Linked DNA regions of Saccharomyces cerevisiae S288C. Each later gene encodes a partner of the first gene's protein in a complex. Each region holds a gene or a part of one and is shown in the gene's direction. Other genes may lie near its edges.

Region 1 (6,625 bases):
CTAAGGGATTTATGTTTCTCTATATACCCAAATTCATTACATCAGAAAATCAGAAGCATAGAAGCTTTGCCAGACCTACAGGTAAATACCTTTATTGCCTTAATTTTCCAAAATTTCGTTAAGTCTTGGTATGGTATCAAAATACCCACTGATGATTCCAAGTTTTTAACCGAACTATATAACTTAGTTCAAGATTTAATAACATATTTGAAGAGTTCCAAAATCAATTACCATGCCCTTTTACTCGATTATATTCCCTGCTTGCTTTCGTCTCACTTGAAAGCATTAAATGACTCATCTCAAAATAACGATTTAGTTTATGAACAGTACTGTAAGCTAACTTTGTATGATTCGAAACGATATCCAATGCTATTCACTGAAATCATACAAAGTAAAATGAGCACCAAATCTCTACTACAGAGAAGCTTTTTGGATAGCTTTTTAAATGAACTTGTGTTCGGGCATATTTTTAATTCAATAGCGGAACCATATTATCTTCTGGAGGGCTTGAATAAAATTTGCATAAGAATAAAGCTAAATTCTGCAGGAAATACCAGAAACGAGGTGACTCATGGAAAGCCTAAATGCGATCCCTGGTTGTTTGTTTCCAATGTAAAGCACAAAATATTGCAAATGACCAGGCTTTTAGCTTATTCAACTTCAACAGAAGCAGCAAATATGAACACTGCCGAAATTCAAGAAACAGCATTTCTACAAAGATATATTTTTACTTTTTTCACCGATGATTTTTTCAAATTATCTATGAGGAAGCCATTCCTATTCTCAATATGCAGAACGCTTCAGCATTGGATCTCTAAATTAAATGCGTTAAACAGGGTCATGTATAGAACATTTGACAATATTGTTCAAACTAAAATTACCAGCCCTGTGACAATTGGCAACTTATTCTCATTATTACGACATTCTTTGTTTCCTAATGACAATATGATGGGGCCACCAAGAGTATTACCAGTGGGTGATGCTTTTCTAGAGTTCAGAGAAGAGTGTATTTCCAATTTATGGGATGTTTGTATGACTTATAAACTTGATCATATCCTCGCTATCAAAAGGTCTGACATAGCGGATCTTATTATCTGCATATCGAAGAATAGGGATTGCAATAAACTGCTAATTTATAGAATTATTGACTGTGTTATTGCGCAGTTGCCGTAGACTTCGTGATGTATAGAGTATTGTTGACAAATATTTGATGTTACCGAAATAGCACTCTTTGTAGCATTATTACCAATTTTTATACTATGAAGTAAGGTCTTAGGAAGCAAGAACATTGTTAACAAATAGCTTTTATGACCTAATCATTAGCACTATTCATTGCCAAATATGCAAATATCTATTCCTTTTGCCCGAACAGGTAAAAGTGGTATTGCTTTTATGTTAAACGCGAAACTGCCGCCACTTCGCTTAAAAAAAACACTGGCTGAAAAAGAACGATGCAGTTTAGTAACTAAAGTTTTTTCTAGCTCAGGCTTAGAGTTCGATAACAACAAGTCACATTCGAGTGCTCCACTTATAGCAATTTTTCTTTTGTGTATTGGTTTGCTCCTGTGTGCTCAGGCTTTTCGTTTGTTGTGAGAGTATTGTTCTTATAACTATTCATTTTTTGAAAGAATTGGCGGCTAGCAATGTCGTACCCAGGGAAAGACAAGAATATTCCTGGAAGAATAATAGAGGCCCTAGAAGACCTGCCTTTGAGTTATCTGGTTCCTAAGGATGGGTTAGCCGCGCTAGTAAATGCCCCAATGCGGGTTTCTTTACCTTTTGACAAGACTATCTTTACCAGCGCTGATGATGGCAGAGATGTTAATATAAATGTTCTAGGTACAGCTAACAGCACTACTTCTTCCATAAAGAATGAGGCCGAAAAAGAAAGGCTTGTTTTCAAAAGACCCAGTAATTTTACGTCATCAGCCAATTCTGTTGATTATGTCCCAACTAACTTTTTGGAAGGATTATCACCGCTAGCGCAGAGTGTTCTATCAACCCATAAAGGGTTGAATGATTCCATTAACATCGAGAAAAAAAGTGAAATAGTAAGCAGACCGGAGGCAAAGCATAAGCTCGAAAGTGTGACTTCGAATGCTGGTAACTTGAGTTTCAACGACAATTCTTCCAACAAGAAAACCAAAACTTCAACAGGTGTAACCATGACACAAGCGAATTTAGCGGAACAATATTTGAATGATCTTAAAAATATTTTAGATATTGTTGGATTTGACCAAAACTCTGCTGAAATTGGAAATATCGAGTACTGGCTCCAGTTGCCAAATAAAAAATTCGTTTTAACTACAAACTGCTTAACCAAATTACAAATGACAATTAAAAATATTACCGATAACCCACAGCTATCGAACTCAATCGAAATAACATGGCTTTTGAGATTGCTTGATGTGATGGTTTGTAATATAAAGTTCAGTAAAAGCTCTTTAAAGATGGGTTTAGATGATTCTATGTTACGATATATTGCTTTGCTTTCTACAATTGTACTATTCAATATTTTTTTACTGGGTAAGAATGACAGCAACTTACATCGGGAATCATACATCATGGAACCGGTGAATTTTTTAAGCGACTTGATAGAATCTCTAAAAATATTAACAATTGAATATGGTTCTTTGAAGATAGAATTTGACACTTTCCAGGAGGCCCTAGAATTGCTACCGAAATACATACGTAACGGCCCTTTTCTGGATGATAATGTCACGGCAAAGCTTGTGTACATCTTTAGCGACTTGCTGATGAATAATGACATTGAAGCAACTACGAATATCCAATTTCAAAGTTTTTGGGATAATGTGAAGAGAATCAGCTCTGATATTTTAGTTTCATTATTCGGTAGTTTTGATCAACAGAGAGGATTTATTATAGAAGAACTACTATCTCATATCGAAAAGCTTCCCACTAAGAGAATACAAAAAAAACTAAGAAAAGTTGGTAACCAAAACATTTATATCACTGATTTTACCTTTACTTTAATGTCAATGTTAGAGAATATTAATTGCTACTCCTTCTGTAATCAGATGAAGGATATTGCACCAGAGAATATTGATCTATTAAAGAACGAATACAAAAAGCAAGAAGAATTTCTTTTTAACATTGTTGAGCATATAAATGACACAATACTGGAAAGGTTTTTCAAGAACCCGTCCGCTTTAAGGTATGTAATTGACAACTTTGTCCAAGATCTATTATTGCTAATTTCCTCCCCTCAGTGGCCTGTAACAGAAAAAATACTAAGCTCTTTGTTAAAGAGACTTCTAAGTGTATACAGCCCATCCATGCAAGTTTCTGCAAACATTGAAACAATATGTTTACAACTTATAGGGAATATTGGTTCTACAATTTTTGATATTAAATGCTCAACTAGAGACCATGAAGATAACAACTTGATTAAAATGATTAATTACCCCGAAACTTTGCCGCATTTTTTTAAATCATTTGAAGAATGCATTGCATATAATGAAACGATCAAATGCCGTCGTTCTGCAACAAGATTCCTTTGGAATTTAAGGCTCGGTACGATCTTGATATTAGAAGAGTATACAAAGGATGCCAAAGAACAAATTATAACCGTTGACAATGAATTGAAAAAAATATTGGAGCAGATAAAAGATGGTGGACTTGGACCCGAATTAGAGAACAGAGAAGCAGATTTTAGTACGATTAAATTGGATTATTTTTCTATTTTGCACGCCTTTGAACTACTGAATCTATACGATCCATACTTGAAGTTGATATTATCACTTCTAGCCAAGGATAAAATCAAACTGAGATCGACTGCTATTAAATGTCTCTCGATGTTGGCTTCAAAAGACAAAGTGATACTTTCAAACCCAATGGTTAAAGAAACTATTCACCGGCGTTTAAACGACTCATCTGCATCTGTCAAGGATGCCATTCTAGATTTGGTCAGTATTAATTCTTCATACTTCGAATTTTATCAACAAATTAACAACAACTATAACGATGATAGCATAATGGTAAGAAAACATGTGTTAAGAATTAATGAAAAAATGTACGACGAGACGAACGACATCGTCACGAAGGTATACGTAATAGCAAGAATCCTAATGAAAATAGAAGACGAGGAGGACAATATAATTGATATGGCTAGGCTGATTTTATTAAATAGATGGATATTAAAGGTACATGAAGTATTGGACCAGCCCGAAAAGTTGAAAGAAATTTCTTCTTCAGTCCTACTAGTAATGTCCCGTGTGGCTATAATGAATGAGAAATGCTCCCAACTTTTCGACTTGTTTCTCAACTTTTATCTCCTAAACAAAGAAGCGCATTCAAAAGAAGCATACGATAAAATCACTCACGTTCTAACCATTCTTACCGACTTTTTGGTACAAAAAATTGTCGAGCTCAACTCAGATGACACAAATGAAAAGAATTCGATTGTTGATAAACAAAATTTTTTAAACCTTTTGGCGAAGTTTGCTGATTCTACTGTGTCATTTTTGACTAAAGACCACATTACAGCATTGTATCCTTATATGGTATCGGACGAAAAATCTGACTTCCACTATTATATCTTGCAAGTCTTTAGATGCACTTTTGAAAAATTGGCCAACTTTAAACAGAAATTTTTGTATGACTTAGAGACGACCCTTTTGAGTAGGCTACCAAAGATGAATGTAAGAGAGATAGATGAAGCTATGCCTCTTATCTGGTCTGTTGCCACTCATCGTCATGATACTGCTAGAGTAGCTAAAGCATGTTCATCCTGTCTTTCCCATTTACATCCATATATAAATAAGGCAAATAACGAGGAAGCTGCCATTGTAGTTGACGGAAAATTGCAAAGGCTGATATATTTATCCACCGGTTTTGCCAGGTTCTGCTTTCCTAAACCCTCCAATGATAAAATTGCATTTTTACAAGAAGGTGAAACCCTGTATGAACATATTACCAAATGCCTACTTGTACTATCTAAAGACAAAATTACACACGTAATAAGAAGGGTTGCTGTGAAAAATCTCACTAAATTATGTGGAAATCATCCAAAACTATTCAATTCAAGACACGTTCTACATTTACTGGACAAAGAATTTCAGAGCGATCAGCTAGATATTAAACTAGTAATTCTAGAAAGTTTATATGATCTTTTTCTACTGGAAGAAAGGAAGTCAGTGAGAAACACTGGCGTTAATAGCACTTTGTCTTCGAACTCCATTTTGAAAAAGAAATTACTGAAAACGAATAGGGTAGAGTTTGCAAATGATGGAGTATGTTCAGCGTTGGCTACTAGATTTTTAGACAATATTCTCCAACTATGTCTCCTACGTGATCTAAAGAATTCTCTCGTAGCTATTCGATTATTAAAGTTGATTTTGAAATTTGGTTACACAAATCCCTCTCATTCAATTCCAACTGTAATTGCTTTATTTGCCTCTACTAGCCAGTATATTCGTCATGTCGCCTATGAGTTGTTAGAAGATCTTTTTGAGAAATACGAAACGCTAGTATTCAGTAGTTTATCTCGAGGGGTTACAAAAGCTATACATTATTCTATTCATACAGATGAGAAGTATTATTACAAGCACGATCATTTTTTGTCTTTACTTGAAAAATTATGTGGAACTGGAAAAAAAAATGGCCCAAAGTTCTTTAAAGTTCTGAAGAGAATCATGCAATCCTATTTAGATGATATCACCGATTTAACATCAACAAATAGTAGTGTTCAAAAGTCCATTTTCGTTCTCTGCACTAACATTTCGAATATCACATTTGTTTCTCAGTACGATTTGGTGTCCCTACTCAAAACCATTGATTTAACTACAGATAGATTAAAAGAGGTTATCATGGATGAAATAGGTGACAATGTTTCATCGCTATCCGTATCAGAAGAAAAGCTCAGTGGAATAATTTTAATACAGTTAAGCTTACAGGATTTGGGTACTTATCTACTGCACTTATACGGGTTAAGGGATGATGTGCTTTTATTAGATATTGTAGAAGAATCAGAATTGAAGAACAAACAACTCCCTGCAAAGAAGCCGGATATCAGTAAGTTTTCCGCACAGTTGGAGAATATTGAACAGTATTCATCAAATGGCAAGCTTCTTACATATTTTAGAAAACACGTGAAGGATACGTAAATATATTGCACTTAAAATATACATAGTATTAATAATCATTTTGCATTTTCCATGCTGATTTTTCACGCAGGTTTTGAGAAGCAACTATGAAATATTGAATTTCATTTACACCATCGCATTATATTAGTTCAAACTAAACCTTTTTTTTCTTGCGGACAGGCAAAATATTAATACCTGAGTTAGTTTTCATTCCATTGTGTGTTTTTACAAAGGTCTTTTCGTTACAAGAGGGCACTATTGCTAAGTTTGGGTTGATATTGTTAATAATAGCACCCACATTCTCAGAAGACCTTTGTGAAATCTGAGATGCAGTGCAAGATGAAATTGAACCTAAAGGTGCCTTCTCTGAAAGAGTTGGACTTATAGATGCAGCATTGTTCCTTAAGGCATTCATTTCTTTTGATTTGACAGTCTCTGTCACAGATATTTCCTCCGCTTTAACATTCAGTTTCATAGACTTTTGTGTATCTTGCCTTATATCCCGAATGACTTCTGGTTCC
Region 2 (4,447 bases), on another chromosome or scaffold:
TTGACTAAGCAATTCGAGAATGACCGTGCCGAATATGTACAAGATATCGAGAAGCTAACGCGGACTAACAGAGAATTACAAGATAAGTTATTAAACAACCACTCGAATTTGAGTAAAACTGAAAAGAAATTACACGAATTGGAGCAGGAAAATAAAGAACTTGAAAAAGCCAACAACAAGCTGAATTCAAGCAGACATAATTTCGGCATGTCATCACCAGCGAGTTCGCCGGTGACTTGGGATCCAAGTTCACCTTCCTCTGTAGGAAGCCCCACAAGCGGTTCTGGATCACGTTCACTTTCAATAATGACAAGTGAGTTTAAAAAAGTGCTTACGAGTACACAAAGAAAGTATGAAAAAGAATTGTCGGATGAGCGTGAACATAGATTCAAGCTGGAAAGGGAGCTTGCTTTGCTGAAAAATGCAGAGGCAAACACCTCGCTGGCGCTTAATAGAGACGATCCACCAGATATGCTATGAATAAACATCTTATTATAAAACATTGATATATAAATATAGAATAAGAAGAATATACTATAAAAAACCGTTTGATATTACAATTACTTCTTCTTCCTTTTCTTTTATTTCTTTGAGGACCATTAATAATTGAGAAAATGGAACAAATAGAAAACCTTTTTTTCTTTTCGTCTACTCCTTCCCCATCACATTTTTCTAAATTCACTTAGCACAGGGTATATAGCTTCAAAAGCTTGGTAAATTTCTTCCCTTTGCTTTGCACCAGTAAGAACAATCTTTCCTGAAACAAAAATTAACAACACAATTTTCGGCTTCACCATTCTATAGATCAAACCAGGAAACAATTCTGGCTCATAGGAGGAGAAAGTACCATGACTGAATGCTAACCCTTCTAGACGTATAGGGAATTTAACGTCACACGAACCGACAATATTTTGTATTTTGAAGTCTGTGAATTTAGCAGCAAACCCGATTTTTTGGATAATTCTTGCATATTTTCTACTGGCCAGCTTTGAGTCATCCTCACTTTTTGCACCGGTAACAACCATTTTCCCTGAGGCAAAAATTAAAGCTGTAGTTTTTGGCTCTCTAATACGCATGATGACAGCAGCAAAACGCTTGGGGTTATATTCTGCATTACGGGCATGTAGCGCAACTGTTTTCAGATCTAACCTGCACCCCAAAGTCACAGTTGCCACAATGTTTTGTAGTGTTGGAACAATACCTGATGTGGCGGAGGTGTCTTTTTCAGATTCTGGGGCAGCTCTTTTTATGTCCTCTTCACTCTGGAAAGTAGTTGCTGGTTTTGTACCATCTCGATTCTGGTTTTCCCATACTTGTCTGGTATTTGGATCAAACACTATCTTGTTTGCCTCTTTAAACTCCTTTAAACGTTCCTCATCGGCCATAATTAAAAAAGTTTCTCTTGATACACCTGTTTATGTTGGACTAGAAAAGAAAAATAAAATGCAGCCTTTACTTCCTTGCTTCTTCCGCAGAGCAGTCTAACTAGTAGTCGTTTTATTTCTTATGTGTTATCTTTCCCCCGATCTTATAGTCCAAAAAAAACAGTAACTACTGTAATTTTCACGTCCCTTGTTTACTCTTACCATCAAGAATACCTATCAAGGTAAAAAAAGTCATTAGTAATCCTTTGAAGCCATGTTTTATATGTAGATCTTCAAATTTTTTTCTTTTCCCAAAAAGCTCGCGTAAGAGAAACTTGGAAGATAACTATTTACGGCTTCACAATTAAAATACGTAAAGAGATGAGTTAGATCTATCAGCAAAGGGAATCCCGACATCTCAGCTATCAGAGGGGAATCAGTATTGGTAGAAATTGAACGATTTCGAAAGAAGTACAAATTCATGGAAAATCTTGGCGACAAACTTAGTATTTCACAAGTATACCACTTAGCACAGGAATACAGAGACCATGCATATTCAATTGCGAATAAAATCGGTTCTGAGGAAGGGTTGAAGCAGTATTATGGCCTCATGAACATGTCTATCCAGATGTTTCAGCTATTGAAAACGAAATGTACGCTTTCAGTTCTGGAGGATAGTAAGGTCACGTTTGAGATGGTGGAGTTATTGATACAGGAGACGTATAATTTTGACCTAGCAGAGCTTTACATTTCCAGTTTGAAAGAACGGTTACAAACGCACCAGAGCGACACAGATTTGGTAGAAGAGATCATGCGTTGCGAGTTTCTGCTGTTACATGACTTGCCACTTATGAGAGACAGTAAGTTCCACTATAAGATTGCACTAAGAAATTGCAATGAATTAGTCCAGTACATGGTAAATTTGCAGGATGAGTTGTATCAAAATTGGGCATCCGTATTCCAGTATGTCGGCGTGATGCTTTGCATTAAGCTGAAACAGCACCGCAGGGTGAAGACGAGTTTTCATGGGCTACTCTCGCAATGTCGGGAAAAGTCACAATGGAAATGGTTTCTAAATCTGTGTTATGTGAATTACTTGCTAAATGAGAGGTTCCCAATCCCCGAGGATGCTCTGCAGGAGCTGCGAAGCACGGAGCTGCACACGGTGGGGCCTGAGCTATATGCATGGAAGTTGGCATTAGAGATGGTAATCCAGCTTTGTAAAGACGGGAATATTACGGACCACTTGAACGAATTCAAAAATTTCTTTGACACAAACAAGCAATCTCTAGTCACTAATGAAGGTAAGGGATGTGTGATCAAAATCATGCCAAGGATAGCGCTGAAAGTAGAGTTGCCTATGATTTTCCACTACAAAGAATTAAAGAACATACTGTTATTATTGCAAAGTGTCAGCTACATCGTGAACTGTTATGACGAAAAGGGCAATTTTTCCAGGAAGTTCCTCCCCAAAGTCTATTCTACAACGCAGAAACTGATTAAGAACATTGCCGCTGGCGGTGTTTCGATGAATGAGCTGGACTCACGAATCCAGACATACAAGAGCATTCTTGAATTCTGTGAGTTTTACAAAGTGTGGGAACAAACACTCTTGAAGGGGGCCGTAGTGACGACCGAGTCACCTAAGTTAGGGCCCTCTCCAGGCTACGTGAGGCTGCTGCAAGCCATGAAGGTTCAGTTTGAAGGCGGCGGGGCCGTAGAAGAGTACACGCGGCTTGCACAATCTGGCGGTACATCCAGCGAGGTGAAGATGATATCGCTTCTGAATTGCTACACAGTGCAGGCGGCAAGAGTGAGCCGATGTTCGGGGGACAAACAGGGCGAACTCGTAGAGCAATGCAACAAGGTGTGGCTTCAGGTGGAGAAATTGCTACAAGAAACGGATCTGCAGTTCAACCCCATATGGGAGTGCACAGTAACGATCCTATGGCTTTTCAGCCATTTCGAGCCGTTCAGTTGGAACCCGCTGCCATGTAGTGACAAGCAGCGCGCCGAGTACGTGTCGAAGCTCCGCGAGTTCTACTCTAGCAACAAGTTCGTTGCCGGAGAAGCCGTTGCGGACAACCGCTTCAAATTGAAGAAGGCTCTGTTGCTGCAAATACTGGTAAACTACTTAGGCGGTCGAATGCTCGAACACGATCTGGGCGAGATCTATGCGATTTCAGCAAAGTGTTTCGATATGTGCCGCCAGCAGGGCGGCATGCGCAAGGTCCAATACGTGATCGGAATATGGCATTTAATGAATTGTACGGTGGCGATGCGGGGAAAAGACGTCGCTCTCACGAACGCGAAGCTGGAGGCGCTGGTTAAGCAAATCACCAGTGTCAAACAATAAACCAAAAAAAAAAAAAGAAACACTTGATTTCCTTTATCTATTTTTATACTTAATTATTTTTTTTAGATGCACTATACAAATTCGCGTTAATTTTTGCCTTTTTACAACGCCTCCGTAGGGGTCTTTTTGCCGCCTGGCACAAGGATGGCAATATTGTTGCCGCTTAAAAGCATTCTGCCATGGTGCTGCATAACTTTCTCATTTCTGCTCTCGTCCTCAGGATCGATAAGCCACTCGACAGCGTCTTCCAGTATAACGTTGACGAAGTCGTCGAAACCAACTAACGTGCCCTCGAACTCGCGGTTCGACTGCAGCACAATCAACACTTTCTGGTTAATTGTTTTATCTATGACTTCCAAAGGCAAAATCTCCGGTAGACTCATTTTGCGCGCTTCTGTGTATGCTTGTGAGTGCACGTGTATACGCTATGCTTGTTGTGAGACCATCTATCCGCCAAGGAAGCCTTTTTCGCTTTCTCTGTATTTTTTCTACTTCAATAAGAAAGCAAGTATTCTGTTTTGCTACCCGGATGCAAAGACAAAACCCGAGCATCCGGGTAATAAAAGAGCAGGGTCCGGCTGAAGGTGCCAAAAAAGACCAAAAAGGGCTATATTATCTCTCTCTTACGATTGCCTCTGGTTAAAAAATGAAATAGATAATAAAAGGGCAGCAAAGAAAAAAAAGAAGAATACAATATACGTATACGTTCTCAACAATTTTTCGTCCT

What was found. Proteins that work in one complex are often made in the same cells at the same time.
Region 2: the proteins of SCC2 (region 1) and SCC4 are in contact, whole or in part, in a crystal structure (PDB 4XDN), measured with the Saccharomyces cerevisiae proteins. Residues at the interface, in NP_010466.3 of Saccharomyces cerevisiae: Met1 (codon at 1,644), Tyr3 (codon at 1,650), Pro4 (codon at 1,653), Gly5 (codon at 1,656), Lys6 (codon at 1,659), Lys8 (codon at 1,665), Ile10 (codon at 1,671), Pro11 (codon at 1,674), Gly12 (codon at 1,677), Arg13 (codon at 1,680), Ile14 (codon at 1,683), Ile15 (codon at 1,686), Glu16 (codon at 1,689), Ala17 (codon at 1,692), Leu18 (codon at 1,695), Glu19 (codon at 1,698), Asp20 (codon at 1,701), Leu21 (codon at 1,704), Pro22 (codon at 1,707), Leu23 (codon at 1,710), Ser24 (codon at 1,713), Tyr25 (codon at 1,716), Leu26 (codon at 1,719), Val27 (codon at 1,722), Pro28 (codon at 1,725), Lys29 (codon at 1,728), Asp30 (codon at 1,731), Gly31 (codon at 1,734), Leu32 (codon at 1,737), Ala33 (codon at 1,740); in NP_011074.3 of Saccharomyces cerevisiae: Gly5 (codon at 1,858), Asp6 (codon at 1,861), Lys7 (codon at 1,864), Leu8 (codon at 1,867), Ser9 (codon at 1,870), Ile10 (codon at 1,873), Ser11 (codon at 1,876), Val13 (codon at 1,882), Tyr14 (codon at 1,885), Leu16 (codon at 1,891), Glu19 (codon at 1,900), Tyr20 (codon at 1,903), His23 (codon at 1,912), Ile27 (codon at 1,924), Ala28 (codon at 1,927), Asn29 (codon at 1,930), Lys30 (codon at 1,933), Ile31 (codon at 1,936), Gly32 (codon at 1,939), Ser33 (codon at 1,942), Glu34 (codon at 1,945), Gly36 (codon at 1,951), Leu37 (codon at 1,954), Lys38 (codon at 1,957), Gln39 (codon at 1,960), Tyr41 (codon at 1,966), Gly42 (codon at 1,969), Leu43 (codon at 1,972), Met44 (codon at 1,975), Asn45 (codon at 1,978).

What each region holds. Positions count from the first base shown.
Region 1 is NC_001136.10:819,652-826,276, forward strand, and holds SCC2 (cohesin-loading factor complex subunit SCC2), read left to right. Parts: upstream 1-1,643; coding exon 1,644-6,125; downstream 6,126-6,625. Other genes in the region: NVJ3 (Nvj3p), read left to right, coding at 1-1,173; SAS4 (Sas4p), read right to left, coding at 6,259-6,625. UniProt on the Saccharomyces cerevisiae protein: Plays a structural role in chromatin and is involved in sister chromatid cohesion. Forms a complex with SCC4 required for the stable association of the cohesin complex with chromatin, which may act by hydrolyzing ATP from SMC1 and SMC3 heads.
Region 2 is NC_001137.3:462,241-466,687, reverse strand, and holds SCC4 (cohesin-loading factor complex subunit SCC4), read left to right. Parts: upstream 1-1,845; coding exon 1,846-3,720; downstream 3,721-4,447. Other genes in the region: PEA2 (Pea2p), read left to right, coding at 1-480; SPT15 (TATA-binding protein), read right to left, coding at 663-1,385; RNA-binding protein LSM5, read right to left, coding at 3,822-4,103; YER145C-A (uncharacterized protein), read left to right, coding at 3,865-4,302. UniProt on the Saccharomyces cerevisiae protein: Involved in sister chromatid cohesion. Forms a complex with SCC2, which is required for the association of the cohesin complex with chromosomes. Binds to the nucleosome-free promoter regions of ribosomal protein genes and tRNA genes.